Anolis sagrei: one gene and its partners. The protein of the gene in region 2 purifies or fractionates together with the protein of the main gene of each other region. This does not show direct contact. Links are inferred from orthologs where the notes say so. Each region holds a gene or a part of one and is shown on either strand. Other genes may lie near its edges.

Evidence for each region.
Region 1: the proteins of DCAF7 (region 2) and SOWAHC purify together in Homo sapiens (affinity purification with mass spectrometry; 4 studies listed by BioGRID and IntAct, counting the BioPlex papers as one, with this or other methods). This does not show direct contact. The link is inferred for Anolis sagrei from reciprocal best matches to the Homo sapiens genes DCAF7 and SOWAHC.
Region 3: the proteins of DCAF7 (region 2) and TROAP purify together in Homo sapiens (affinity purification with mass spectrometry; 3 studies listed by BioGRID and IntAct, counting the BioPlex papers as one, with this or other methods). This does not show direct contact. The link is inferred for Anolis sagrei from reciprocal best matches to the Homo sapiens genes DCAF7 and TROAP.
Region 4: the proteins of DCAF7 (region 2) and PFDN5 purify together in Homo sapiens (affinity purification with mass spectrometry; 3 studies listed by BioGRID and IntAct, with this or other methods). This does not show direct contact. The link is inferred for Anolis sagrei from reciprocal best matches to the Homo sapiens genes DCAF7 and PFDN5.

Annotation. Positions count from the first base shown.
Region 1 is NC_090023.1:107,817,933-107,825,083, reverse strand, and holds the start of SOWAHC (ankyrin repeat domain-containing protein SOWAHC), read right to left. Parts: upstream 3,001-7,151; 5' UTR 2,807-3,000; coding exon 1,310-2,806; 3' UTR 1-1,309. Other genes in the region: SEPTIN10 (septin-10), read left to right, coding at 3,338-3,367.
Region 2 is NC_090026.1:51,932,721-51,940,593, forward strand, and holds the start of DCAF7 (DDB1- and CUL4-associated factor 7), read left to right. Parts: upstream 1-4,870; 5' UTR 4,871-5,006; coding exon 5,007-5,144; intron 5,145-7,873. UniProt on the Homo sapiens protein: Involved in craniofacial development. Acts upstream of the EDN1 pathway and is required for formation of the upper jaw equivalent, the palatoquadrate. The activity required for EDN1 pathway function differs between the first and second arches.
Region 3 is NC_090022.1:145,668,207-145,675,348, reverse strand, and holds the start of TROAP (tastin), read left to right. Parts: upstream 1-4,129; 5' UTR 4,130-4,238; intron 4,239-6,088; 5' UTR 6,089-6,127; coding exon 6,128-6,274; intron 6,275-7,142. UniProt on the Homo sapiens protein: Could be involved with bystin and trophinin in a cell adhesion molecule complex that mediates an initial attachment of the blastocyst to uterine epithelial cells at the time of the embryo implantation.
Region 4 is NC_090022.1:187,059,855-187,066,735, forward strand, and holds the start of PFDN5 (prefoldin subunit 5), read right to left. Parts: upstream 3,021-6,881; 5' UTR 2,975-3,020; coding exon 2,903-2,974; intron 362-2,902; coding exon 259-361; intron 1-258. Other genes in the region: ESPL1 (separin), read right to left, coding at 5,950-6,151. UniProt on the Homo sapiens protein: Binds specifically to cytosolic chaperonin (c-CPN) and transfers target proteins to it. Binds to nascent polypeptide chain and promotes folding in an environment in which there are many competing pathways for nonnative proteins.

The DNA of each region.
Region 1 (7,151 bases), on a different chromosome or scaffold from region 2:
TGAGAGGTAATGAGTTTGAAGCCAGCCCGGTTCGGAGTGAGCTCCCGACCATTAATAGTCTAGTTTGCTGTTGACCTATGCAGCCCAAAAGACAGTTACATCTGTCAAGTAGGAAATTTCCGTACCACTTTATGCGGGAAGGCTAAATTAACTAATTAATGACACCATAAAACCTTTGTGTGTAAGAATAGGAAGTACTCCATCAAGGACTTGGTGTCACAAGTGGATGGTGAAGCATCAGCTCCCCCTGTGGCCGGAATCGAGCATAGACTGGAAAACTGGAATGTTAAATTGCCTGTGTGTCTGTCTATATATGTTGCATGTCTATGGCATTGAATGTTTGCCATGTATATGTGCATTGTAATTCGTCCTGAGTCCCCTGTGGGGTGAGAAGGGCAGAATATAAATACTGTAAATAAATAAACAATAATTCTGGAACATGGCCAGACAGCCTGGAAAACTCACAGCATCTCAGTGATTCCGGCCATGAAAGCCTTTGACAACACACTCAGTTGCACATTGTTTTGAAATGTCAGTGTTCAGAGTCCCAAATTCTTACCTTGGCCAAGTTTTCTTCCCAGATGGGGCTTTGGAGGAAGATCATGATGAATTGCTAAACTGGTGGGAGACATATTCTGACTGGGAAGTCCAGTGGTGCCAAAGGTGGCCATTGTACTGTTCCTGTGCAGCTCAATGACGTTCTGTAGCACCACAGGACCCTGTCCAATCTCTGGCACTTTCCTATTCAGAACTGTTCTCCCTCCTGTTTGGTTCTGCATGGCCAAGCTCCCCCAAAACTGAATTTGGGTAGTTTGTGTGTGTGTATGTGTGTGTGTGGGGAGGGGGGGGGGGTGCCAGCAGGTATAAGTAGTTCACCTACTCAGGAATACCTGCCAGTCTCCCTTCTTCCAAAGCCCTTAAGGAGCAGTGCAGCGGCCTTCTCTTGCACCACTGAACTTTCCTATTTAGAATACTTCTCCCTCCTGTTTGGCTATTCTGTGCCAAGGCCCGGGGGAGGCAGTGTCAGGGGTGGCCAGGCGAACCTCCTTGGGGATAACACACCATTCCTGCTCCTTCAGTCTACCCGGTGGCGAGGTGGGTTAAACCCTTGTGCCGGTTTGAATCCGCTGAGAGCGCAGATGAGCTCCTTCTATCAGCTCCAGCTCCCCATGCAGGGACATGAGAGAAGCCTCCCACAAGGATGGTAAAACATCAAAACATCCGGGCGTCCCCTGGGCAACGTCCTTGCAGACGGCCAATTCCCTCACACCAGAAGCGACTTGAGGCTCCTGACACGACCAAAGAAAGTCTACCCGAAGACGTTGGACTTGGGCCGGAGCTTGAAGGAGCCCTTGAGGGGCCTCTCTTCGGGCGCGCCTCCCCCCTCCTCCTCGTTCGCCTCGGCTTCCACGCGGAACGACGGCGTGGTGTGGACGATCTGGGTGCGGAATCGGACCTTGTGGAGCCGGGCCTTGGCCCTCCCGCTGGAGCTCTTCCTGCTGAGCTTCCCGGCGGACAGGGCGCCTTCGGCGGCGGCGGCGGCGGGCAAGGAGGCGACGGTGAGCTCGCTGTCCTCGTGGTGGGCGGGCCGGTGGGCGAGCAGGTGAGTGGGGAGCACCTTGGAGAGCCGCCACCGCCCCCCTCCTCCTCCTCCTGTTCCGCTGCGGCTGCCGGCCCCGCTCCCGGCTTCCCCTTCCTCTCCGCCTCCCCCGTCGTGGAGGGAGCCCATGAGACTGCGGAGTCCGGCGGCGCCGGCGCTGAGGTAGTGGGCGGCCTTCCTCCCGCTGTAGTCGCGCAGCTCGACGTCGGCGTCGTAGGCGCCCACCAGGAGCTTGACCACCTCGAGGCGGCCGTGCATGGCGGCCAGGTGGAGCGCCGTGTAGCCGCCGGCCGTGCGCGCGTTCACGTCCACGGCCAGCCCGCGCCGCCGCGCGAAGCCCACCAGCCGCGCCAGCAGCTCCGCCCGCCCGTGCTTAGCGGCCCAGTGGAGGCAGCTGAAGCCCGTCACGAAGTCCCGCCGGCCCAGCAGCGCCGGCTCGCCGCTCAGCACCGCCTCCAGGCTCTCCCAGCGGCCCTCCCACGAGGCGCACAGCAGCATCCACGCGTGCTCCACCGGGTCCAGCGCCACCGACGAGGGGCCGCTCGAGCCGCTCTCCTCCTCTTCCTCCCACTCACCCGCGCGGGGAAACACCCCGCTCCCGCCGCGCTTCATCTGAGGAGAGCTGCCCAGGCGGCGGCTCTTCTTGAGCGCCAGGCCCGAGGAAGACGACGACGACGACGAGGAGGAGAGCCGAGAAGGGGCTCCCGGATCCTCCTCCTCAGGCTTCCCCCCCTCGGGCTCCAGGCCTGCTCTTCCACCCGCAGGAGCATCTTCTTCCTCCTCCTCCTCCTCCGCGCTCCTCCTGTTGCTTCTCTCATCTCCTCCTCCGGCGGGCTCGGAGGCGCCCTGGGCGATGCTGCTGGTGCTGCTGCTGGTGCTGGCGCCGCTCCCGCCGCTCCTCCTCCAGTGCTTCTTCCTCAGCTGCACGTACTTGGCGCCGCCGTCGCGCGGCTCCTGCTTGACCACGGCCACGGCGTTGACCATCTCCTTGAAGCGCTGGCGGGCCTGGGCGCGGCGCGCGGGCTCCGGGGAGTTGAGGCAGCCGCGGAAGTGCTCCAGCAGCTCCGCGTTGCGCGCCCGCCCGCCCCGCTCCGCCAAAAAGCCCAGCACCGCCTCCTGGCTCAGCTCCATCCCGGGGTCGCCCGCCGCCTTCAACCCCACCGCGGAGTCGTCCTCCTCCTCCTCGGCCGCCGCCGCCGGCTCCATCTCCCGCCTCTCCTGGTGGCGCTGCGCCTCCTCATCCCCGGCTTAAAGCCCTCCTCCTCCTCCTCCTCTTCGCACAAACCAAATCACGGCTCCCTCTTCGCTCCCCCTCCCGCCACTCCTTCTCCGTCATTACGCTCCTCCCCCACGTGACACCCGCGACGGCAAAGAGGGCGTGGCCTCTCCGGCTCCGTCCCAACTTTCCCGTCGCTCTGGCTCCGCCCTTTCCTGGAGGCCACGCCCCTTTCCCCGCTCGAACACCGCCCTCCCCTTCCCACGCGCCCGTTGGATTCGGGTGCCCTGGCTGCGACAGCATCCCCCGCCTGTTCGGAATGTGATTGGCTGAGCGCGCGTCCTCCCTGTCCGCGAGGCCTCTCTCTCTCTCTCGCGCTCCCTCCCTTCCTCCCTCCCCGGCGTTGTGGTGTGGCATTCCAGCCGCAGGGATTGGAGCAGGGCTGCGCTCGCGCTCCTCCGCCCGTCCTCTCCGCCGCGCGGCGACCCCTCCTTCCCTCCCTCCCTGCTGTCTCGCCTGTCATGGCCTCCTCCGATGTGGCCCGGCCGCTGGTGAGTCCCGCGCGAGGTGGGGCGGTTGGGGAGCCCTCAACGGTTCTGTTGGGGCGGGGTGGTCCACGATTCCTGCCTCCTTGGGGAGCCGGCCTCACACTCAGCCTAACGCCTTCTCGTTTTGTATGCCTTTCATTGTATCGTTCTTTTGAACTGTGAACTACTCGGGAGTCATTTTAGAGGGAAAGAGGGATATAAATATAGAATAGTTTAATAGTATCCTCTCTATCAACTGAAGGGCTTCTTTCCAACTGGCTCAATGCAGTGTCATCCTGGGAATTGTGGCCTTGACTGCCAAAGAGTGCTGTGCTCTGACCAAAATATGACTCCATAGCATTGTGCCATGGCAGTTAAACTCATGCCATTCTACAGTGTAGATGCACCTTTACTCAGGATACGATCAGATTGGGAAGTTTGTTCATTGAGCGTTTTGTTTGTCTTGGGTTCATCTTTTCTGGGCTGCTTTGCTTGTTTCTTAGGACAAATGTGTAAGGTTTCTTCATCAAAGAAAAAAGTGGTTCTTTCCGTCGAAATCAGTGATTCCCAATCTTTTTTTGACCAGGGACCACTCTACAGCATTAATACCAAAAGGGTTACAAATCAGTTTTGTCAACTTTAGATTCGGTTTGGTTATTTGGGGGACTGATTCAGAAAATTGAATTGGGTAGACCACATCAGCTCTAGTTTCTGATACAGAACGTGTACCATCCAGTAGTCGCGATCTGTTCACTCACAGAAAACCATCTATATAAATAAAAATGTAATGTTCGTTTGTGGGATTAACATAACTCAAAAACCACTGGATGAATTGACACCAAATTTGGACACAATACACATATCAGGCCAACAAGTGACCATCACTCATAAAAACACTGAAAAACACAGCAGAAGATACTTAAAAAGCAAAAAAAAAAAAAACCCAACAAAAATTACAACGGATGCACAAAACCACATATATACATAAACACACATACACACACACACACACATATGCATATATACATGCACACAAAACACATACACAGACTGGGCTACAGCAACATGTGGCAGAGGACAGCTAGCATTTAATAAATCTCAACAGTATAAGAGAGTTTCGTGAGACCAGTTGCTCTTGTTGCAATGGTGTAGTAACGCGTACCACTGGTGATCTATGGATCACAGGTTGGGAACTACTGCTTAAAATGATAGCCTCAAATATGTTTCACATACTCATATAAAGATCTTGTTACTGAAAAGCACAATCACAAACAGGTGTCACTTTGGCAGTATTTATTCAAAAGTCCTACTGAGTTTGCTAGACTCTCTTCCAAAATAAGTTGTGCATGGGTTTATTTTTAAATCATAGTCTTATTATGGTAGAAGTGTTGGTCACATTAATAACTAACACCAACGGCATGTTGTATTCATAGGTGCTCATTTTCTTAATATTGTACACGCAGCAGTCACAGCTTCCCCAACAAGTTTTTCCAAAATTAGGTATGTAGCAAGCAGAGGGCTACTGGATTTATTAAGGAGTTGGCATTCATGGACTCATATATGCCATCAGATGTAAATGTTTGATTCTCTTTGGTATTTGAGGAATAATTTATTAATATTGCCTTTGAGATATTGTCAGCTTCTGCTTTTTTGTCATTGTTTTGTAATTGTATGATGGGTTTTTTTCCAGGGGCAGTTCACCCAATTTATTTATTTATCGTGTCAGGGGCAACCAGACTATTGTATTACATTTCTAACAGAACAAAACAAACAAACAAACAAACAAACAGACAGACAAAACACAAAGTTTGCAAGCTTGGTAGTTGATTAAATGTCCTTTGACCAGTATCTGGCCACTTGGAGTGCCTCTGGTGTTGCCGCAAGAAGTTCACCCAATTAAACAGGTATATTGAACCTGTTGGGAGAACTAAAGCACACTCTGTGTACAAAGCCTTTTGTATGGAGGAACATTCAATCTGATTTCACAATCTGAAGCACACATTTTTAAAAAAGGATTTATCTCTTCATCTCCTAGAACTAGACACCAGTTAGTGCTGAATTATCTTATTTTATGTGTTGAATCTACTTCATAGCAAAATTCATGTAGGAACTTTGTGATGATGTAGTAGAGGTGTGTTGTGTTAGTCATTGCTGAAAACAGCTACAGGGCATCTACAGTGCATGCCAGACCCTAATGAATGGCTTCAGCTTGCATTCAGCTTGTGGGATCATGTGCCCCTGCGGATATTTTTGGACTGTAACTTCCGTCAGTTCAACCTGGCATAGCTAATGGGAAGTAATGCTGGGAATTGCAGTGCAACCACGTATGGAGGGGTGTATGGTCTCTAATTTATGTGAAGTGGCCTTCAGAGGTGACATATAAATAATTTCATATGCTTTCTCTTTTGGCAGAACTTGTCTGAGTTTCTTCCTTTATACCACAGTTTTCCTTCTACCATTCCAGAAAACATAAACACTCTTAGCCAATAAAACTTTAGACTTTACCTCTAACAAGATTAGAGGCAAAGTGTGCCTTCCCTAAAGCAAATAAACTATGTGTTCTTCACATACTTTCTTGAATTCACCAGATCTCTCTGAAGCGCATTACCTTATGAATTGAGAGGTTTTGTGGGCTTCGTTGTGTAAAATATACAGAAAGGCTGTCACAGAGTGATATTGAGAAGTCCAAGTAGTATTTGAATTAGTAAATCACTGGCATATTGGTTCTTTCAAAGGTCTTATTTATTTTTTAAAACACTTGTTTCCCACTTGGTTTGAAGAGATACTCCAGGTAACAAGTAAGAACATATGAAGCCTTCTGTTTCCCTGGTGAAAAAATATTAACATGATACACACACACCAATCAAAATATTAAAATAAATCAAGATATATTGCATCAAAAAATAACATTACGATTTTGTCAGGAGCCCATAGCAGTAGGGTGATCAGATGTGAATGTTTGCTTTTCTTTGGTATTTGAGGGATAATTTACCCGCTGAAGTTTGGTGTTTGAACTCTCTTACAGATATTTGGGATTTCCACCTGTTATTAGTTCTTTATGAAATGCCTGCTGCCTTCTTTCTATTTTATATTACCTCTGAGAGCACACACGTTTTGTTCTTCCATTCTTATTCTTGTGACTTTATTGTGTTTTTTTTTCAGGGCCAGTTCATCCAATTAAAACAATATACTGAAAGAACTAAATCACACTGTGTATATGAATCCTTTTGTATGGAGGAAACATTCAGTCTGATTTAGCCACAATCTGAAGCTTGCTTTAAGACCAGATAACTTTTGTTGAGGTCAGAATGACGAACTCAGCTAAAACATCAGTGGTGAGGGGATAGCCCAATTGACCCCCCCCCCCTCACCATTGATCTCAAAGTTGGATGCTTCATTTTGATGAGAACTCATAGCTGAGCACCTCTTTTTGACCTCAAAGCCAGTGAGATCACTAGCATGGCTTGCCAGGGAGGTGCTTGGCAGAGAAGACAATGGAAGTGCTTCTGCGACCCCGAGGAGAAAGACACAGTATTCCTTTGATTTCAGTGCAAACAGGCTTCTTGTTTTTGTTGAAAGAAAACCTGACTGCATAACCCAGCTACAGGGTAGCATAGTCGTTCTCCAAAGTCTGTCCATGAGGCCCTTTTCTAAAGTGGCACTTGAATTGTTTCTCCCACCGCCCCATATAAAATGCTCACAATTATCCCGTGGAAATAAGGAGAAAGGAAAAAGAAAATATTGTATGTGATTCACATACTTAGAAGATGAAATATAGCAAATATAAATGAACTTCAGTTTGGAAGCA
Region 2 (7,873 bases):
CTGAGATTACACGGGGCACGTACTAAATGTGTTCCTTCTTAACTAAAACAGCCCATGAATACTTTCAACTAAGGTTTATCAGTGGATAATGGTTATAACGGTTTGGGTGATAGGATTTCTTTCCACTACACTCCCAGGTTTCTGATTGGTTTGGATTTCAATGGGAGATCCCCCCAACCCCCCCAAAAAGTATATTTGAGATATCAACAAAGGTTCAATTAAGTACATTACTCTCTTGGGGCATCTCCAGTTTCAGACAGGAACATAGAAGGTATCTTACATTGGTTCGTTGATCATTGGTCCCTCTTGCCTAGTATGGTCAATTCAGACAGCAGCTCTCTAGGGTTTTTAGGCCAGTTACTCCTCTAGCCCTTTCTTTGGTTCCCGTAGTAATCTAGAGCCCCACTGCCCTCACATGCCCTTTCCCTTAGGCTGGATCTACACTGCTATATAATCCAGTTTCGGAATCAATATTATCTGCTTTGAACTGGATTATTTGGGTCTACACTGCCAGTAACTGGATTATATAGCAGTATTGATGGGGCTTCATGCAGCCCCCAGGGAACATCGTTTTGCATTACTGATTTATCACATGAAACCAGTATGTGTGCATTTCAGCTTATTTTAGAAACAAGAAGTTTGGTCTTGTCCATCCATAGTTTGTTTATTAAACTCTTGACAGTGCATTATGGAAACACAAGGACTACCCGTATAGACTCGAGTATAAGCCGACCCGAATATAAGCCGAGGCACCTAATTTTACCACAAAAAAAATGGGAAAATTTATTGACTCGAGTATAAGCCGAGGGCGAGAAATGCAGCAGCTACTGGTAAGTTTCAAAATAGAAATAGATACCAATAAAATTACATTAATTGAGGCATCAGTAGAGTAAATATTCAAAAATATTTACATAAAATTGTAATTTAAGATAAGGCTGTCCAACTCTGATTAAACCATTATTCTAACCTTCTTCAACGTAAATGTGCTCACATATCCTTCCAATAATAATAAAGGGAGTAAAATAATAAATGTAATAAAAATAATAATAGAGTAAAATAATGGAAATGTAATAACAGTAATGAGAATAAAATAATAAATGTAATAATAACAATAATAAATAGAGTAAAATAATAAATGTAATAACAATAAAGAGTAAAATAATAAATGTAAGAACAACAATAATAGAGTAAAACAATAAATGTTATAATAACAATAAAGAGTAAAATAATAAATATAATAATAATAATAATAATAATAATAATAAATAGAGTAAAATAATAAATGCAATAAAAATAATACTAATAACAGAGTAAAATAGTAAATAACACTGACTCGAGTATAAGCCGAGGGGAGGTTTTTCAGCCTAAAAAGGGGGTTGAAAAACTAGGCTTATACTCGAGTATATTCAGTATTTTAAAGTCTGTGCTGATATCAATGTCACAGGTGACCAAAGTGCCTGTGTGAGAAATGCTGACTTATAATTTCATATTTTTTTATCCACTTGGAAATAAGCTTTACTAGGATCAATGAGATATTTCACTCCTATAAGTGGAAAGTCAACTAGGCTAGTGGTTGGAACATTGGGCTACAATTCTGGATTTGAATCTCCGCTTGACCTTTAAACCCAGTGAGTAATGCTGGACACATCACATTCTTTCAGCCTCAGAGGAAGGCCATGGCAAACCTCTTCTGAACGAATCTTACCAAGACAGTCCTGTAAAGGGGCTGCAACAAGTCAGAAACAACTTGAAGGCATATGGCAAGTGGAGTACAGGCAGTCCCCAAATGTACACTGAAGCTTTATCACCAATCCTTGTTCCACAGAGTTTTTGTTTTGGCCTGGAAAGTAAAAGCGATGACTGTTGTACTCCAGAACAGGGATAATCCTCTGACTTTAAACACCACACATTGAATAGGAAAAAAACAATCCTTTTATTAAAGATAAGTAAAAAGCAGCAAAGAAAAAAGCTCTTTAAAGAAATGTTGTTGTTGTTCATTCGTTCAGTCGTCTCCAACTCTTCGTGACCTCATGGACCAGCCCACGCCAGAGCTTCCTGTCGACTGTCACCACCCCCAGCTCCTTCAAGGTCAGTCCAGTCACTTCAAGGCTGCCATCCATCCATCTTGCCCGTGGTTGGCCCCTCTTCCTTTTACCTTCCACTTTCCCCAGCATAATTGTCTTCTCTAGGCTTTGCTGTCTCCTCATGATGTGGCCAAAGTACTTCAACTTTGTCTCTAATATCCTTCCCTCCAATGAGCAGTCGGGCTTTATTTCCTGGAGGATGGACTGGTTGGATCTTCTCGCAGTCCAAGGCACTCTCAGAACTTTCCTCCAACACCACAGTTCAAAAGCATCTATCTTCCTTCGCTCAGCCTTCCCTAAGGTCCAGCTCTCACATCCGTAGGTTACTACAGGGAATACCATGGCTTTGACTAGGCGGATCTTTGTTGCCAGTGTGATGTCTCTGCTCTTTACTATTTTATCGAGATTGGACATTGCTCTCCTCCCAAGAAGTAAGTGTCTTCTGATTTCCTGGCCACAGTCTGCATCTGCAGTAATCTTTGCACCTAGTAATACAAAGTCTGTCACGGCCTCCACATTTTCTCCCTCTATTTCCCAGTTGTCAATCATTCTTGTTGCCATAATCTTGGTTTTTTTTATGTTTAGCTGCAACCCGGCTTTTGTGCTTTCTTCTTTCACCTTGATTAGAAGGCTCCTCAGGTCCTCCTCACTTTCGGCCATCAGAGTGGTGTCATCTGCATATCTGAGGTTGTTAATGTTTCTTCCAGCAATTTTCACCCGAGCCTTGCATTTGTCAAGTCCCGCGCATCGCATGATGTGTTCTGCCTACAAGTTGAATAGTTGTTGTTGTTTTTGTTTTTTTGGGGGGGGGGGGTTGTCGTGTCAGGAGCAACCTGAGAAACTGAAAGTCGCTTCTGGTGTGAGAGACTTGGCCATCTGCAAGGACGTTGCCCAGAGGATGATTTGATGTTTTATCATCCTTGTGGGAGGCTTCTATCATGTCCCTGCATGAGGAGCTGGAGTTGATAGAGGGAGCTCATCTGCCTCTCCCCGAATTCGAACCTGCGACCTGTCGGTCTTCAGTCCTGCTGGCACAGGGGTTTAACCCACTACGCCACTGGGGGCTCCGTAGCTGTATAGGTTGGGTGAGAGTATACAGCCCTGCCGTACGCTTTTCCCAGTCTTGAATCAGTCTGTTGTTCCATGGTCAGTTCTTACTGTTGCTACTTGGTCTTTATTCAGGTCCCTCAGGAGACAGACAAGGTGATGTAGTATCCCCATACAATGTAAATTGGTAGAAAAGTGGGTAATGAACCATCTAGATTTGGTGGAGAAGGTGCTTGCAGTTCTGGAGGGACTCTAATTTTTCTTCTCATAGATTTGGCATGGAGATTTGTTTAACCAAGAAAAATTCATGGGAAATTTTTCAGGTGTGGTTTGAACCCCTAAAGCAGGGGTCCTCAAACGTTTTAAACAGAGGGCCATGTCAGAGTCCCTCAAACTGTTGGAGGGCCGGATTATAATTTGAAAAAAAAAAGAATGGATTCATATGCACACTGCACATATCTTATTTGTAGTGCAAAAAACACTTAAAAACAATGCAATAATTAAAATGAAGAACAATTTTAACAAATATAAACTTGTATTGTCGAAGGCTTTCATGGCCGGAATCACTGGGTTGTTGTAGGTTTTTTCAGGCTATATGGCCAGGAGAGAAATGCCTCTAGACCAGGGGTCCTCAAACTAAGGCCCGGGGGCCAGATGCGGCCCTCCAAGGTCATTTACCTGGCCCTCGCTCAGGGTCAACCTAAGTCTGAAACAACTTGAAAGCACAACACAACAATAACAATCCTGTAAATGCTCCCCTCTCATTCCTTTTATAACTTCCCAGTCGTCTGATATTTGTTATTAGCCGCCCCCTATTTTAGATTCATACATGCACTTTAAACTGTAAGTTTAGTCTGTTTTATCTTTTTAATTTGTCTCTTTTATAACATGTTTTTAGTCTGCTTTTAATCTGCTTTTATACTTACTTATCTACTTGGGAACTATACCTACTTTTATACCTACTATCTACTTGGGAACTGCGATTCCCTTCCTTGGGCACCGATGCCCCATTCTGTACTGTGCTGGTCAAAGACCGTAATAAATCATTGATTGATTGAATAACAATCCTATATCATCAGCCAAAAGCAGGTCCACACTTCCCACTGAAATAATAATAAGTTTATATTTGGTAAAATTGTTCTCCATGTTAATTATTGTATTGCTTTTAAGTGATTTTTTGCAGTACAAATAAAATATATTCAGTGTGCAAAGAAATTAATTCATTTTTTCAAGTTATACTCTGGCCCTCCAACAGTTTGAGGGACTGTGACCTGGCACTCTGTTTAAAAAGTTTGTGGACCCCTGATCTAGACCATGGCCATCTAGCCCGAAAAAACCTACAACAACCCAAATATAAACCTATTCGTATTTCAATGGCAAGTGCGGGCCTGCTTTTGGCTGATGAGATAGGATTGTTGTTGCTGTTGTGTGCCTTCAAGTTGTTTAAGACTTAGGTTGACCCTGAGCAGGGGCCGGGTAAATGACCTTGGAGGGCCATATCTGGCCCCCGGGTCTAAGTTTGAGGACCTCTGCCCTAAAGGCTTACTTGCTCTATGTTTTTCTCTATACATCTATCTACCTGTGGCTATGATATAGCCTGATTATTATTTTTTGTCAGAGGGGCGGGTTTTAATCAAGAGCGACAAGTATTCCCGCCAATAGCGTCGACGCTGCCGGGGAACCAATGAGCGGCGGAGCTTTGTGGAATGGCGTGGCGGGCAGCCAATGAGAGGGCCGGGCCCGAGTCGCAGTGGGCGAACGGCGACGGAGAGTAGTTGGCGGTCGCCGTTGTGTGCGAGGGAGAGGGAGAAGGGCCGCCGCCGCCGCTGCGGGAGGAGGAGGAGGAGGAGGAGGAGGCCTTCCCTCCCTCCCGCCATGTCGCTGCACGGGAAGCGCAAGGAGATCTACAAGTACGAGGCGCCATGGACCGTCTACGCCATGAACTGGAGCGTCAGGCCCGACAAGCGCTTCAGGCTGGCGCTCGGCAGCTTCGTGGAGGAATACAACAATAAAGTAGGCGGCGGAGAGCGGGGAGGGAGGAGGGAGGGAGGCCGCGGGTGAGGCGCCACGCAAGGCCGGAGGCCTGGCCCCTCTCCTGCCTGCCTGCCTGCTGCGGGAGGCCTCCCTCTGCTTCTCCTCAGGGAAAGGCAGAGGCTGGACCCCTTTTCCACAGCCACATCTCCCGCCGGGATTTGTAGTTCCGTGTGGCTGTCGATCTCTGCCAAATACCTCCCCAAACTACACATCCCATCACCGCGTAGGCCTTAGTGACAGTTGGGGCGCTTATTCCAAGCAGAAGGCTCCACAGGGCCCTTCCACACAGGCCTATAACCCAGAATATCAAGGCAGAAAATCCCACTGGGTTATCTGAGGCCCCTTCCACACAGCTGAATAAAATCCCACATTATCTGCTTTGAACTGGAATATATGGCGGTGTGGACTCAGATCTATATAAATAAAAATGTAATGTTCGTTTGTGGGATTAATATAACTCAAAAACCACTGGACGAAATGACACGAAATTTGGACACAAGTGACCATCACTCATTTAAAAAAAAACACACAGCAAAAGGGACTTATAAAGCCACCCCCCCCCCAAAATTACATTACAATGCATGCACAAAACCACACATCTCTGCCAATTACCTCCCCAAACTACACATCCCATCATCGCACAGGCCATAGTGACAGTTGGGGCATTTATTCCAAGCAGAAGGCTCCAGAGGGCCCTTCCACACAGCCATATAACCCAGAATATCAAGGCAGAAAATCCCACAATGTCTGCTTTGACCTGGTTATCTGAATAAAATCCGACATTATCTGCTTTGAGCTGGAATATATGGCGATGTGGACTCAGATAATCTAGGGCCCTTCCAGACAGGCCCTGTATCCCAGGATCTGATCCCAGGTTTTCTGTTTATCCCAGATTATCTGGTAGTGAGGACACATATAATCTATATAAATAAAAATGTAATGTTCAATGTATTGTCGAAGGCTTTCATGGCTGGAATCACTAGGTTCTTGTGGGTTTTTTCGGGCTATAGGGCCATGTTCTAGAGGCATTTCTCCTGACGTTAGGCGAAACATCAGGAGAAATGCCTCTAGAACAGCGTTTCTCAACCTGGGGGTCAGGACCCCTGGGTGGGTCGTGAGGCGGTGTCAGGGGGGTCGCCAAAAACCATTAGAAAACACAGTATTTTCTGTTGGTCATGGGGGTTCTGTGTGGGAAGTTTGGCCCAATTTTATCGTTGGTGGGGTTCAGAATGCTATTTGATTGAAGGTGAACTATAAATCCCAGCAACTACAACTCCCAAATGTCAAGGTCTAGTTTCCCCAAACTCCGCCAGTGTTCACATTTGGGCATATTGAGTATTTGTGCCAAGTTTGGTCCAGATCCAACATTGTTTGAGTCCACAGTACTCTCTGGATGTAGGTGAACTACAAGTCCCAAAAGTCAAGGTCAGTGCCCACCAAACCCTTCCAGTATTTTCTGTTAGTCATGGGAGTTCTGTGCATCAAAATTGGTTCAATTCCATCGTTGGTGGAGTTCAGAATGCTCTTTGATTGAAAATGAACTATAAATCCCAGCAACAACAACTCCCAAATGACAAAATCAACCGCCCACCCCAAATCCCACCAGTATTCAAATTTGGGCATATGGGTATTTGTGCCAAATGTGGTCCAGTGAATGAAATACATCCTGCATATCAGATATTTACATTATGATTCATAACAGGAGCAAAATTACAGTTATGAAGTAGCAATGACAATAACACTATGTTTGAGGGTCACCACAACATGAGGAACTGTATTAAGGGGTCGCGGCATCAGGCATCAGGAAGGTTGAGAAACACTGCTCTACAATATGGCCCTATAGCCCGAAAAAACCCACAAGAACCTAATGTAATGTTCGTTTGTGGGATTAATATAACTCAAAAACCACTGGACGAATTGACACCAAATTTGGAGACAAGACACCTATCAGGCCAATGAGTGACCATCATTCATTTAAAAAAAAAGACACAGCAAAAGGGACTTAAAAAGCAAAAAAAAAAAAAAACCCCAAAATTACATTACAATGCATGCACAAAACCACACATATATACGTAAACACACAAAACACATAGACACAGACTGGGCCACAGCAATGCGTGGTAGGGGACGGCTAGTCTATATAAATAAAAATGTAATGTTCGTTTGTGGGATTAACATAACTCAAAAACCACTGGGGGAATTGACACCAAATTTGGACACGATACACCCAGCAACCCTATATATGTCCTTCACTAAAAAAAAATTGATTTTGTCATTTGGGAGTTGCAGTTGCTGGGATTTATAGTTCAGCTACAATCAAAGAGCATTCTGAATCTCACCAACGATGGAATTGAACCAAACTTAGCACAAAGATCTCCCACAACCATCAGAAAATACTGGAAGGGTTTGGTGTTGTCCTTTGGTTTTGGAGTTGAAGTTCACCTACATCCAGAGATCACTGTGGACACAAACAATGATGGATCTGGACCAAACTCTACACGAATACTCGATATGCCCAAATGTGAACACTGGTGGAGTTTGGGGGAAATAGAATCTTGACATTCGGGAGTTGTAGTGGCTGGGATTTATAGTTCACCTACAATCACAGAGCATTCTGAACCCCACCAATGATGGAATTGAACCAAACTTAGCATACAGATCTCCCACGACCAACAGAAAATACTGGAAGGGTTTGGTGGGCAGTGTCC
Region 3 (7,142 bases), on a different chromosome or scaffold from region 2:
GATCTCAGTCTCCCAACATGTTGCAATGTGCAGCATTCTTACCACTTATTTGGAGTAATTACTTAGACTACAATTCCCAGAATGCTCCAGCCACTGAGGAATTCTGGGAGTTGTAGTCCATAACTTCTGGAAGCACTGTCTATAACTGAGGAATCTCATCATCTAGACTAGTGATTCCCAACCTTTGGTTTTTCATGTTTCTTTTTAAAATTTCAGCTCCCAGAATTTTTGAGAGTTGGCAATGCTGGCTGGGGCTTCTGGGAGTTGGAAGTCCCAAACAACTGGAAGACCAAAGACTGGGATCTAGACAACTTTCATGGGTGGTATGAGATTCCTCTTGTTTTCTTTTGTTTGGGACACCTATCTGGATAATTATTTTTTCTCCAGATCCCCTTCTGACAGCTGCAGAAATAAAGCAACATTTGCAAATGTGTCATAGTTATATAACCATCCCTCTCGAAAAACAGCAGCAGTAGCAACACTACTTTCCAGCCTTCAGGTTTGCAGTCCCACACATTGATATGCTTCACTTGTATAGGATTGAGTTGCACTATACTGTAATTCGAAATGTGCTGAGAATAGTTCTTTAAATAATGGCATTGGCACATAGCATAGTTCTTCTGCTGGATTTTTGACATCTGATTTAGCTTGCTTCTATCATTTTCCTTCTTCCTCTTCTTTGGAACACAGATCCCCTTTTATGGGTTTTGGTGCTGATTCCCCTGTTTCTGATAGCCATGCAGCCATACCCCTAATCACAGCTCGTGAGAACACCTGGTGCTATCTTCCTCCATACTAGGATCTTTGTATCAAAGCCCCAAATCTGATCCAGTCAGTCTTGGCACAATAATGTGATTTCCATACTGCACTAATTACTCTTCTGTGCTGTGCCCTAACCCTGCCCTCACGTATTGGCACTCTGGGGTATCCCTCTGGCTTGTCTCACAAATGTGTCACTTGTGAAAAGGTGATGTAGTAATGCCCAGGTGACAAAACAATCTATCTCACACTCCTACAAAGACAACACAAATGCAGTATGGAAATGTGGGAGTGCTTGCTGTAGAATTGTTTCTGGTGCTTCTAGATCTCCCCTGAAGAGTGACTGTTACTTCATGCCACTTGGCTGTTGTGTGCCATGTATTGCTTCCAACCAGCCAATAAATATCATATTGAAGAGATCTTCTCTACTCTTTTGTGTGTGCACGTGTGTGTTCTCTGATGCTAAGTAGCCTTTCTTGCAAAATTCCCCATAACTCAATAGTTGGATTTCATACCTAATAGAAGGGTTGTGGTTTGTTCAAATTCTGGCTTTATTGTAGAATTAATACAATAATAATAATAATAATAATAATAATAATATATTTATATTCCACCCTTCTCACCCTGAAGGGGACGCAGGGTGTATCACAAGTACACATACACGGCAAACATTCAGTGCCATTTTGTATAGACAGTACACAGACAGACAGCACAGAAGGAGGTGTTGTTTCGATGCCATGGATGGTTGGGTTCGAGTCCACAGGGGGTGCTGTCGCTCCATCCTCTATGACAAAGAGCCATCAGGATTTCTTCATTCCAGCATTTCCTGATTTTTTTTCTTTATGGCGTAAAACACCTCCCCCGCTTTTAGCAGTACCTAATTTCTCTAATTACAGCTAAAGCTGTTTCGAACTGCTTAGGTAAACAGTGAACAGGGCTTACAGTCAGCCGCTCATGCTGACCCGGGGCTTTTGATCTTGCAATCTTTCAGTTGATAAATCTTATAGTTGCTGATGATTTACCAACTGTGCAAAGCCTCCGTACAACACAACTGTTAGAAAATCATGGGAGCTGGCATTTTGCAAAAGCATTAGACTTCTCTGTCAAAGAATGCTGGTGCTTCATCAAACTACAAATCCCAAGATTTGATCCCAGTTTGTCACAGGTCAGAGTGGAGAGTCGTAATTGGCACTATGAAGTGCAGCTGCAAGATAATGTCTCCACTTCAACAGACTACAATAGCCATATGGAAGGTATTCATTACGGAGAATTCTGAGCTCATGCCTGCTATTCCCAGATGTTTGAGGTAAGGTAGTGTCTGTTTCCATAATCTTATGCTGACCCCGTGGACTTCATAGGATATTCTTAGACAAGGAATACTCACAAGGGGGTTTGACATTGTCTTGCTCAGAATTATAGCTTGCAACACTTAATATTAAATTTGCACTCCCATGTCCAGATAACAACCAGCCTGGCCCAGCTTATCTTCTAAGGTCAGATGGGATCTGGTGACTTCATGTTACTAGGCGTGTTTGTAGTTGTCTGTCTTAAAGTAATTTCTGAGTTATGGCAGCTTTAAGGAAACTTATAAAGAGATTATCTTGGCAGGGTTTATTCACAGATTTACCATTTATTTTGGGGGTCTTCCACACAGCCCTATATCCCAGAATGTCAAGGCAGGAAATCTGACATTATTTGAATGTGGACTCTGGGCCCTTCCACACAGCCCAATATCCCAAAATATTAAGGCAGAAAATCCCACAATATCTGCTTTGAACTGGGTTATCTGAGTCCACACGCAGATAATGTGGAATTTCCCACCTTGATATTCTGGGATATAGGGCTGTGTGGAAGGGCCGTTCCTCTTGAGAATGCGACTTGCTCAGCTCCACAAACTGGATTTGAACCCTGATTGCTCAGAATCTTAGGGCCTTAACACACCATATTGTTAGAGCACTGTATTTCCACTTCAACTGCTAATTTACATGGATGCAATTAACATGGACGCAGCGAATCATGAGATTTCGTCCTCATATGTTACAAGTGTGTATTGTTGTTGCTAGTTTTTCGTAGTTGCCGATTTTTGGTATTTTAGCTACAATGTTGAGCTATGATCTAGCATGGGATAAAATCCATGGGGGTTATACACACACACAGTGTGATATGGCCTGTTCACTGGGTAACACCAACCCACAACAGTTAAAGTGGTAGGATAGCCCCGTAACAGTGTAGTGTGCCAGGTTCATAAGGGTGCATCTACACTGTAGAATTAATGGCGTTTGACACCACTTTAACTGCCAAGGCTCAGTGCTGTGGAATCCTCAGAATTGTAGTTCTGCAAGGTCTTTAGTCTCCTCTGCCAAAGAGTGCTCATCAGACTTTTACTTACTTACTTTACTTAGGCGATCCCTCGTAGCTTGAGGGTGACGGTCTTCCAGATGTGGCGTGTTGGCGATGGGTCTGTAGGTGGCTGTGGAGCCCTATTCTTGATCCACATGTTCTCAGCGGTTTCCAGATGGAAGACGGTCCCAGTCAGGGTTGGCTTGGCGTGCCTTCCTCTTGGCATGTTTCTCCCTTTCACTCTCAATTCCTGCCTCTTCAAATTCAACAGCACTGCTGGTCATAGCTGACCTCCAGCTGGAGTGCTCAAGGGCTAGGGCTTCCCCGTTCTCAGTGTCTATGCCACAGTTTTTAAGGTTGGCTTTGAGCCTCATCAAACTACTGCTTCCATGATTCCATAGCATTAAGTCATGACAGTTAAAGTGGTGTAAAACTACATTAATTTAGTGTAGATGATGAGATAATAAATATGACCGGCACATGCTCAGAGACATATATGTATAAAACATTTCAGGGTCGGCCTCTAGAAATGAAATAATTATCTTTGAAGGCTTTCATGGCTGGAATCACTGGGCTGTTGTAGGTTTTTTCAGACTATATGGCCATGTTCTAGAGGCATTCTCTCCTGACGTTTCGCCTGCATCTATGGCAGGCATCCTCAGAGGTTGTGAGGTCTGTTGTACATGGCCATATAGCCTGAAAAAACCTACAACAGCCCAGAAAGAATTATCATTCTTATTATGGAGTAGTCAGTAAAGGCCTGTGACTTGGGGAGGGGAAAGAGGGTGGGTGGGATGAGGCACAAATTTACAGTAACTGCAGATTGTTACTGTAGTGTGATATAATGTACATATAATTGTACAAAATGTGGACATTTAATATTAAAAAAGAGAAACAGATGATACACAGCCCAGCCAAGCAAAGCATTACAAGAGCTTCCTCTCCACGCAGTTTTTCCAGCACTTCCTCCTTTGCAACGTTCTATCCCCGCCCCTTCTGAAACCACGTGACGCAAAGAACCAGCCAATCAGAGCTCTCTGCTGCTTTATGAACTGGTGTGGATGGATGCAAAGCAACTGCCTCGGTGGAAGAAGGGAGTGGAGAGAGAGAGAGAGAGAAAGAAAGAGAGATCTGACCAGGTGGGCGATCCTCCAGAAGGCTAGGATTTTGGGTGCATCCACACTGTAGAATTAATCCAGTTTGGCACCACTCTTGACTGCCAGGGCTCAAGGCATGGGAGGGTGGTTTGACAAGGCTTTAGCCTTCTTTGCCAAGTGGGGCTGGTGCTTTACCAAACTCTGAATCCCAGGATTCTATAGCAGTGAGCCAGGGCAGTTAAAACGGTATCGAACCGCATTAATTCTTTGCAATCTTTGTGGTTGGAGAGTGGTGCTCGCCTGGCATTGGAAATGTGGGGCTGCATTTCTAAAAAGGTGGAAAAGAAGAGTCGTGGGGAGAAGGGCTATGGCATGAGCAAGGGAAGGGAGGCAGCTTGGTGTAATGGTATGAGCGCCCACACTGTGGAATAAATGCAGTTTCATCCCACTTTAACTGCCATGGAGCCTTGGGAGTGGAAGTTTGGTGAGGCAGCTTGGTAGCAATATGAGCATTGGACTAAGGATGTGCCTACACTGTGGAATTAATGCAGTTTCACCCCACTTTAGCTGCCATGGAGTTTGGTGAGGCACTAGTATGCTTTAGAATCCTAGTTGGAAGAGACCTCATGGGCCATCCAGTCCAACTCCCTGCTAAGAAGCAGAAAATTGCATTCAAAGCACCCCCGACAGATGGCCATCAAGCAGGAGAATGGTTTCATAAACCTGTTTCTCTTATTACTGGGATGAAAAGCATATTCTGTATTAGGCTAGGCTTAGCCTAACCAGGCTGGGCTGTGCCAGTTTCCTCCTTTTTGTGGCATCTCTCTGGGCAGCAGCGGTGTCGTGGCTGCTTCTCTGAAGGAGATTTGGAAAGAGCTTAGGAGCCATCCCAATACCAGGCCTATTCTTTCTGAACTGCCTTTTACTGATGGCAAATAATGGTGGCCTCAGATCCATAGGGTCTTTTAAAAACTAGCGAGGAGTATTTATCCTAATACCAGTGCATGTTCTGGTACTTTCATGAATAAGTTGATAGGACGTTATTTATTTATTTACTGTATTTGTATACCGCCTTTCTCAACCCGAAGGCTGAGTGTTGTTGTTGTAGGCTTTCATGGCTGGAATCATTGGGTTGCTGTGAGTTTTCTGGGCTGTATGGCCATCTTCCAGAAGCACTCTCTCCTGATGTTTTGCCCAGATCCATTGCAGGCATCCTCAGAGGTTCAGGGGTCTGTTGGAAACTACACATACCTCAAGCAGAGAGTTCTTTCCCCCACCCTGGACATTCCACGGATAAATAAACCTCAATTACTTAGGTTGTTGTAGGTTTTTTATGAGGTCCTCACAACCTCTGAGGATGCTTGCCATAGATGCAGATGAAACGTCAGGAGAGAATGCTTCTAGAACATGGCCATATAACCCGAAAAAGCATACAACAACCCAGTGATTTCGGCCATGAAAGCCTTCAACAACTCACTTACTTAGTTTCCAACAGACCCCTCAACCTCTGAGGATCCCTGTTATAAATGTGGGTGAAATGTCAGGAGAGAGTGCTTTTGTAACATGGCCATACAGCCCAGAAAACTCATAGCAACTCAGTGATAAGATGTTGAATGTTGGTGATCATTCTGCAACTTGAGAGGAAACAGTGAAAAGCTGACTATACAACCAGGTTTTATGTGTCTGGTATGTATTGAGATATCTTTCATTACTGAGTAAGACGGGATGGGGAGATTTATACAGTTACTCTACCTTGAGCTGACTGCACTATGACTGGAAACAGTCACAACAATTTGGGGAAAAAATTATATTATTCATACAAGTCTTGCTGCACTACTTGTTTCTCTCTCCCTCCCTCCCTCTTTCAAAACTTTAATTAAACAATAATACAGGTACAAATACTGACAGAAGAATCAGGACAGTTCTTCTAAATGGCTCACATTGGGAAGGAAAACCAGCAAGAAGCCTTGCCTCCCGCAGATCAGGCAACAAAAGAGAGTGTTGTGCTTGCGGCAAATGCCTTCAGCAGCAGCAAGATCCCTGTACTATCCAAAAGCAGGCTGGCACCCAAACAGCAGGTATGTGTAGCAGAGCTGCTTTTCTTATAATCTAAATAGTGTTCTGTTTTGTTTTTTGTTTACTTTGCTTTGCATCAGAAATGTTTGTACTATGCTGCACCCCGCATTTTGTAGTATCAAACCTCCTTAATTTCAATATTCTTATTTACAAAGGCAAACGTGGATGAGGGCCACTTGTTCTTTGCCAGTTTTTGCCCTCCCTCAGCTGCCCATAGCCCCCCTTTTTAAAACCAGAAGCACCTGACTGTTCAGGGCCTAAAATAGTCTGGGGTTATGTGGAGGCGGGTAGGTGAAATACCATTAAATGGCCAGTAGCACACACAGAAAGTTTCAAGGAAAAGAGTTTTTATGGTAAGCTAAAATTTGCCTTTTTATGCTAACATTCTTTCCAGTAGGTTGGGTTGAGACTGGTGATCTGCATAATTCCCATCCTTGCTCTAGACCAGGCCTGCACAACCTGGGGCTCTATGGGTGTTTTGGACTTCATTTCCCAGAATTCTTGACCATTGAAGAAGCTGGTTAGGAGATGGAGCCTAATAATAATAATATTAATAATAATAATAATAATAATAATAAATCCCAGTTGTGATTATTATTATTATTATTATTATTATTATTAGATCAAACTGCAAAGAGTCTGGCTCAAGATAGTACAGGTGGTCTCAGTGGTGATCGGCATACTGGGTACAGTGCCTAAAGACCTTGGCCTACACTTAAACACAAATGTTACTGACAAAATTACAATTTGCCAGCTGCAAAAGGCCATCTTACTGGGATCTGCACGTATTATTCGCCAATGCATCACATAGTCCTAGACACTTGGGAAGTGTCCAACGTGTGATCCAATACAACAATCAGCAGAGTGCTC
Region 4 (6,881 bases), on a different chromosome or scaffold from region 2:
TGACACATTTTTGGTTAGGTTGCTGTGAGCTTTTCGGGCTGTATGGCCATGTTCCAGTAGCATTCTCCTTAGCTGATTAGAAAGATGGTTAGAATTTACATCTGTCCTCAATCACTTTTAAAAAGTCACGTCGGTTTTTCCATTGCATCTACTTACTAAAAAGTGTGCCTATTGAATTCATTGGTTCTTTTTGGCTTTATTTTCATCGCTCACTCTGAGGAGAATAGCATATATATTTGAACAATACACAGTACTTGCCTTCGTTGCTTTTATTCAAGACAGTCAGGCAGTCCTTTGCTTCCACATATTTTGTCTGTACCACTTTAAGTTGTGCAATGGATGAAGAAAGGAATTCCACTTCCTAGGAAAAGTCATACAAAATTCAGAAGTTAAAGACCCATCACCTCCAGCAACCAGCTGCATGTGAAGTAGGTATTCTGAAATATTTGCCACCAGGAGCACTACACCGTGAACATCTAGACCAGAGATGGGAAAATTGTGGTTCTTCCAAATGTTGCTGAGTAGTATTTCTAAACAACAGACATTGTTGGTTACCCTGGCTAGGACCAATGGAAAGCCACACATTCATCACCCCAGTCTAGAAGAACAGGATTGAAACGACTACTTCATTACAATACCATTTACTTCCATCCAAAAGCCATGGCAGATTTGTATGACAAGTCACATTGACAGCACAGTCATTTGGCAGAAGGGAAAGACTGAATGGAAAGAAAGTGTATAGAATCCTAATAGACATGTGGTGATTCAGTATGCTTATCCCCCTGGTTAGGTATTCTGTTTTTTTCTCTCTCATGCACATGCAAACACATTTCACAGCAAAAACTTGGAGCAGACTTACATATATCGTCTGCTCCTTTTACACAAATAGAAGGTAATATTCAAACTAAGTATGACCATTTCTATCGAAGAACGGGATCCTTTTTCTTATGATAGAGAACTTCCCAGCTCTAAGCCAGGAATGAGGAAGCCGTGGTCCTCCAGATGTTGTTGGACTCTAATACCCATCAGTTAATAAAGGCCAAACCCTACTGCTCCCCTTCTTGGGCTCCTCCATCACAAATACACTTTTCAATACACTTTTTTACTCCTATCTCTTCCAGGGTTTTAACATTTTAGCTCACGCATTTGGCCTGTCCTTTGTGTTTGATTTATATTATGTTATTTTGCACAGTTTATTTTATTCTGTTATTTTATGTATTTTGCTGTGATGTAATTTTTCTGTTGCTTTGTTTTGAACTCTGCTGTATTATTTTTGGGCTTGGCTTCATGTTAGCCACCCCGAGTTCCCTTTGGGGAGATGGTGACGGGGTATAAATAAAGTTTATTTATTATTATTATTATTATTGTTGTTGTTGTTGTTATCAGTTCCAACATTCAAACCAAAAGATCATCTAGGTGCCATTTAAACGAATAGCACAAGCTGGAATATGTCTAGAGGAGGGCGACTAAAATTATCAAGGGTCTGGAGAACAAGCCCTATGAGGAGCAGCTTAAAGAACTGGGCATGCTTAGCCTGAAGAGAAGGCTGAAAGGAGATATGATAGCTATGTATAAATATGTGAGAGGAAGCCACAGGGAGTAGGGAGCAAGCTTGTTTTCTGCTTCAATGGAGATTAGGACACGGAACAATGGCTTCAAACTACAAGAAAGGAGATTCTATCTGAACATGAGGAAGAACTTCCTGACTGTGAGAGCCGTTCAGCAGTGGAACGCTCTGCTCTGGAGTGTGGTGGAGGCCAGGAAGCCTCTTTGGAGGCTTTTAAACAGAGGCTAAATGGCCATCTACCGAACCCAATTCAAGGTGCAAGTGCTTACCTACAAAGCCCTAAATGGCTTGGGACCTGCTTACCTGCATGACCGCATCTCCATTTATGAACCCACGCACTCCCTTCGTTCATCCGGAGAGGCCCTGCTTACGATCTCACCTGCGTCACAGGCGTGTTTGGTGGGGACGAGGGACAGGGCCTTCTCTGTGGTTGCCCCCCCCCCCGACTTTGGAACACCCTCCCCAAAGACATTAGACTAGCACCCATGTTGGCAGTCTTTAGGAAGAACATGAAGACCTGGCTATTCTGATGTGCCTTTCCAGAATAGGATAACCCCCAGCTCTATGTCCCAGTAGAGTTTAAGACTCTCTGCACTTGCACTTGCCCAGAATTCCAACACACCACCTCTCACACCCAGCACTTTTTAATATGTACCCTTCATTGGCCCGGCCCTGGTTTTATTGCGTAATAGTGTAATGTTTTCTTATTGCTTATGTTTTTAATTTGCTTTGTATCGTACTGTTATTGTCTATTGTTGTTGGGTTGAGGCCTTGGCCTTTGTAAGCCGCATCGAGTCCTTCGGGAGATGCTAGCGGAGTATAAATAAAGTTTAATAATAATAATAATAATAATAATAATAATCTGTCAGGGGTGCTTTGAATGCAATATTCCTGCTTCTTGGCAGGGAGTTGGACTGGATGGCCCATGAGGTCTCTTCCAACTCTTTGATTCTATGATTCTATCTACGCTCTGAAAGATATCAATCCTTGAGATTGTAACCTTCCCCTGGAGATCTTGAGGGTGTCACACTGGGCCTGCCCTCTACCCCGCATCCTGATCCTAGCGGGGCATCTACACTGCAAAATTAAGGCACTTTGACACCACTTTAGCTGCTTCGTTGCTCAATGCTATGAAATCCTAACAATTGCAGTTCAGTGAAGCACCACCCTCTTTGGCAGGCCGGGTAAAACGACAACTCCCACTCTTCCATAGAAGTGAGACCTGGCAATTAATGTGGTATAGAACAGTTTTCATTCCACAGTGCAGACGAACTCTAGGGGGGGCAGTCCAGAGGGAGACCAGGCCCCTGTTTCCCCCGCTTTCCTCTCCCTCACCTGGTCTAACTGGTTCTTCAGCACTTCCAGCTGCGGCAGGGACAGCTCCGAAATGTTCACCTGCTGCGCCATCTTGGAAGGAAGGAAGGAAGGAAAGAAGGAGCCGTTCCTCCTCAAGACGCGCTAGCAGTCGAGTCTATGGTCACTGCGTCTATGACGTTAGCCCAATCCACGCCCTGTTGCCAGCAAACGGCAAGGTTGGCCACAATGACCTCACTTCCGGCCTGCGAGCGAGGCGCCTCCTAGAGAGATAGAAGGGAAACGGTGGGATGCTGCATAATAGAATCATAGAATCATAGTGTTGGAAGAGACCTCATGGGCCATCCAGTCCAACCCCCTGCCAAGAAGCAGGAATATTGCATTCAAAGCACAATTACTTATTCATGTGCTTTGGCACTTTGAATTGCCATGGAATCCTGCGAGTTGTAGTTTGACAAGGTCTTTAGCCTCCTTGGACAAAGTGCTGGCGCCTCACCAAATCCCAGGCTTCCATAGCCTAGAACCGTGGCAGTTAAAGCGGTGTCGAACTGTATTATATATGGATACCTTCAGTCCATTTCATTGCTGGCCCAAGTTAGTATTCTGTTGTTGATGGCTTTCATAGCCACCATGACTGTGAGTTGCTGTGAGTTTTCCGGGCTGTATTGCTATGTTCCAGTAGCATTCTCTCCTGACGTTTTGCCTGTATCTGTGGCCGGCCTCCTCAGAAGTTCTGTTGGCTATGAAGCAAATGGAGTGTGTGTGTGTGTATATATATATGTGTGTGTGTGTGTGTGTATATATATATATATACACACACACACACACACACGCATACACCCACACACACACATCTGTGGAAATGTCCAGGGTGGGAGAAAAAACCCTTGTCTGTTTAAAGATAGTGTGAATGTTACAGTTAACAAATTGATTAGCATTGAGCAGCCTTGCAGCTGCAAAACCTGGCTGTTGCTTCCTGGGGGCATTCTTTGCTTGGGAAACTCAAGAATGGAAAACGGAATGTTAGTGGACAGGAAAAGAGATTTAAAGATGGACTCAAAGCCAACCTTAAAAACTCTGGCATAGACATTTATTTATCGTGTCAGGAGCATTACATTTTTATAACAAAACAAACAAACAGACAAAACACAAAGTTTGCAAACTTAGTAGTTGATTAAATGTCCTTTGACCAGTATCTGGCCACTTGGAGTGCCTCTGGTGTTGCCACAAGGAGGTCCTCCATATTTTTTTTGTCATGTCAGGAGTGACTCCTGGTTTGAGAGAATTGGCCATCTGCAAGGACGTTGCCCAGGGGACGCCTGGATGATTTTGATGTTTTTATCATCCTTGTGGGAGGCTTCTCTCATGTCCCCGCATGAGGAGCTGGAGCTGATAGAGGGAGCTCATCCGCCTCTCCCAGGATTCGAACCTGCGACCTGTCGGTCTTCAGTCCTGCCAGCACAGGGCTTTAACCCACTGCACCACCTGGGGTCCTCCATTGTGTATGTAGCAGGGATCAGGTTGCATTGCAGCAGGTGGTCAGTGGTTTGCTCATCTCCACACTCGCATGTCGTGGATTCCATCTTGTAGCCCCATTTCTTAAGATTGGCTCTGCATCTCGTGGTGCCAGAGCGCAGTCTGTTCGGCGCCTTCCAAGTCACCCAGTCTTCTGTGTGCCCGGGGGGGGGGGGGGGGGGGGCTCTCATTTGGTACTGGAGGAGACGTAGTTTTAAAAAGGGAATTTTCAGATATTTCCCCAATGCCTATATGTCATGATTTACTACCATTTTGGCCTATTTCTGCAGTAGGCCTATGTTCACAGAAAATGCTGATTGAGAAATCAGTGCTCCAAAGAAGAAGTTACTATTCAAGGATAACAACATATCCGGACAAAACCAGGTAGCTGTTGGCTAGTTAGAACCCCCAAGTTTCCCAGTCGCTTTGAAGCCATGTTTGCAACAGACTAACAGATAAGATACAGTCATGATCAGAGAACAATGGACTATAGTTATGTTATAGTTGTGCCATTGTTAGGATCCCACGTGTGCTAAAATGTCAATCAAAATCATAAACAACTAATGAACAACTGCATAGCTAGCTTAGACCAATGAAATGATTTGTCTTTGGGAACCAATGAAAATGTATATTCCATTTACTATAAATGCTCTGCAGCCCCATTGTTTGTCGTTATTGCTATGGCCATGCAATAATAAATAGTTTTTTGCAGTTTAAATTTCATAACTAGCTGTTATGAAATTTAAAAAAGTAATGTTTAAAACCTGTTGTTAAAAATGAAGGCAAGAAACATTGTGCTAGGCTACCCCGACACAAGATCACATCATTTATTATTTTCATTGCCATTTTAATCCATTATTCTTTTAATAATAATAATTGTAATAATAATAATAGATTTTATTTTTACCCGCCACCATCTCCCCAATAGGACTCGGGGCAGCTAACAAAGCACAGCGAAGTGCCGCATATAAATAATAAATAATCTAAAAATGATAAAACTATGAAATTACAATCACACACACAATTATAAAACATTAACCTTTCTTTTCTCACCTTGCTTGATTTTAATAGCAAGACTGGAAATGTTAGCAAAAGTAGATTGGCCAGGACAAAATCGGAGATTTAAATTTAGAACTAGATAGACAGCCATCCAAGATTAGATATAACTTCCCAAGAATCAAATGCCAATGATAATAGTGCATGATTCATGTGCAAACACACGGAGGGGGGGAGATTGTTTGCTTTAAACTTTATTTAGGTTTTGAAACATTAAAATTCATATAGCTTTTAAGAAACATTCATAATACTCTCTGAAATTAAAAATGTGTACATTGTGCAAATCTTAAATACTTGAAAGAGCAGCCCAGGTAGAAACATTTTGTCTAAAAACAATATAGGCCTTCAACAAAATATATACTCCTACTATACACCAAAAATGCATCTGAAGCATTTTTATCCTTTGTCTCCAAAGGCAATTTGCAATTAAAGTACTCAGAGTCAAGAAAAGTTTATCCAGATCCTTCCAAATGTCTCCCACCAGGCTCTTGTCTTTTCTACTGTAGAAAAACTGGGAGTCCATAAGCTATGGGAGCAGCACCAATCATGTATTTCAGTCTGGGTGCCTGGCGTGACTGAATGATGTACTGGAGCAGAGGAGCTCCAGAGCCTGCCTTCAGCCAGTTCTTCAGAAGAGCCTGCATGAAGCGGTCAATGTCTCGGTCAGTCACATCCCAGAGATTGCCCAGCACTAGGGGACTGGAAAACAAAGGACAGGGGAAAAGGAAGACAAGTTTATACTATTGATATCCTGCCTTTCTCCCACAGTGGGATTCAAAGAGGCTTACAATGCAAGCTAAAACATAATAGCTAAAGAATTATATGGTATAAAGGTTATAGCATTGAACAACAAATCCATCCAAGATGCTATTTATCAATTTAAAAATAAAAACCAGATTTTGACATAACAGCACATCTATGCATATCTGACTACTACAACCAGTTAAAGACCTGTTTCATTAAGAAGGAAGTTGCCTCTTGGCAGAAATAGGACAGAGAAGAGACCAACCAAGATCCCCACAGGAGAAAGTCCCAAAGACTATGAGCAGCTTCCAAGAAGACTCTCTCTTGTGTGTTCATGAGACAAACCTTAATGCATGGTCAGACAGAGAGAAAGCCATCTGATGAATATCATAAGACTCTGGCAGACTCATATAAACAGATAGTTCTTGAAATAGCCTGTAAAGGTAAAGGTTTTCCCCTGACATTAGTTCCAGTTGTGTCTGACTCTGGGGGTTGGTGCTCATCTCTAAGCTGAAGAGCTGGTGTTGTCTGTAGACACCTCCAAGGTCATGTGGCCAGCATGACTGCATGGAGCACCGTTACCTTCCCACCGGAGCAGTACCTATTGATCTACTCACATTTCCATGTTTTTGAACTGCTAGGTTGGCAGAAGCTGGGGCTGACAGCAGAAGCTCACACCGCTCCC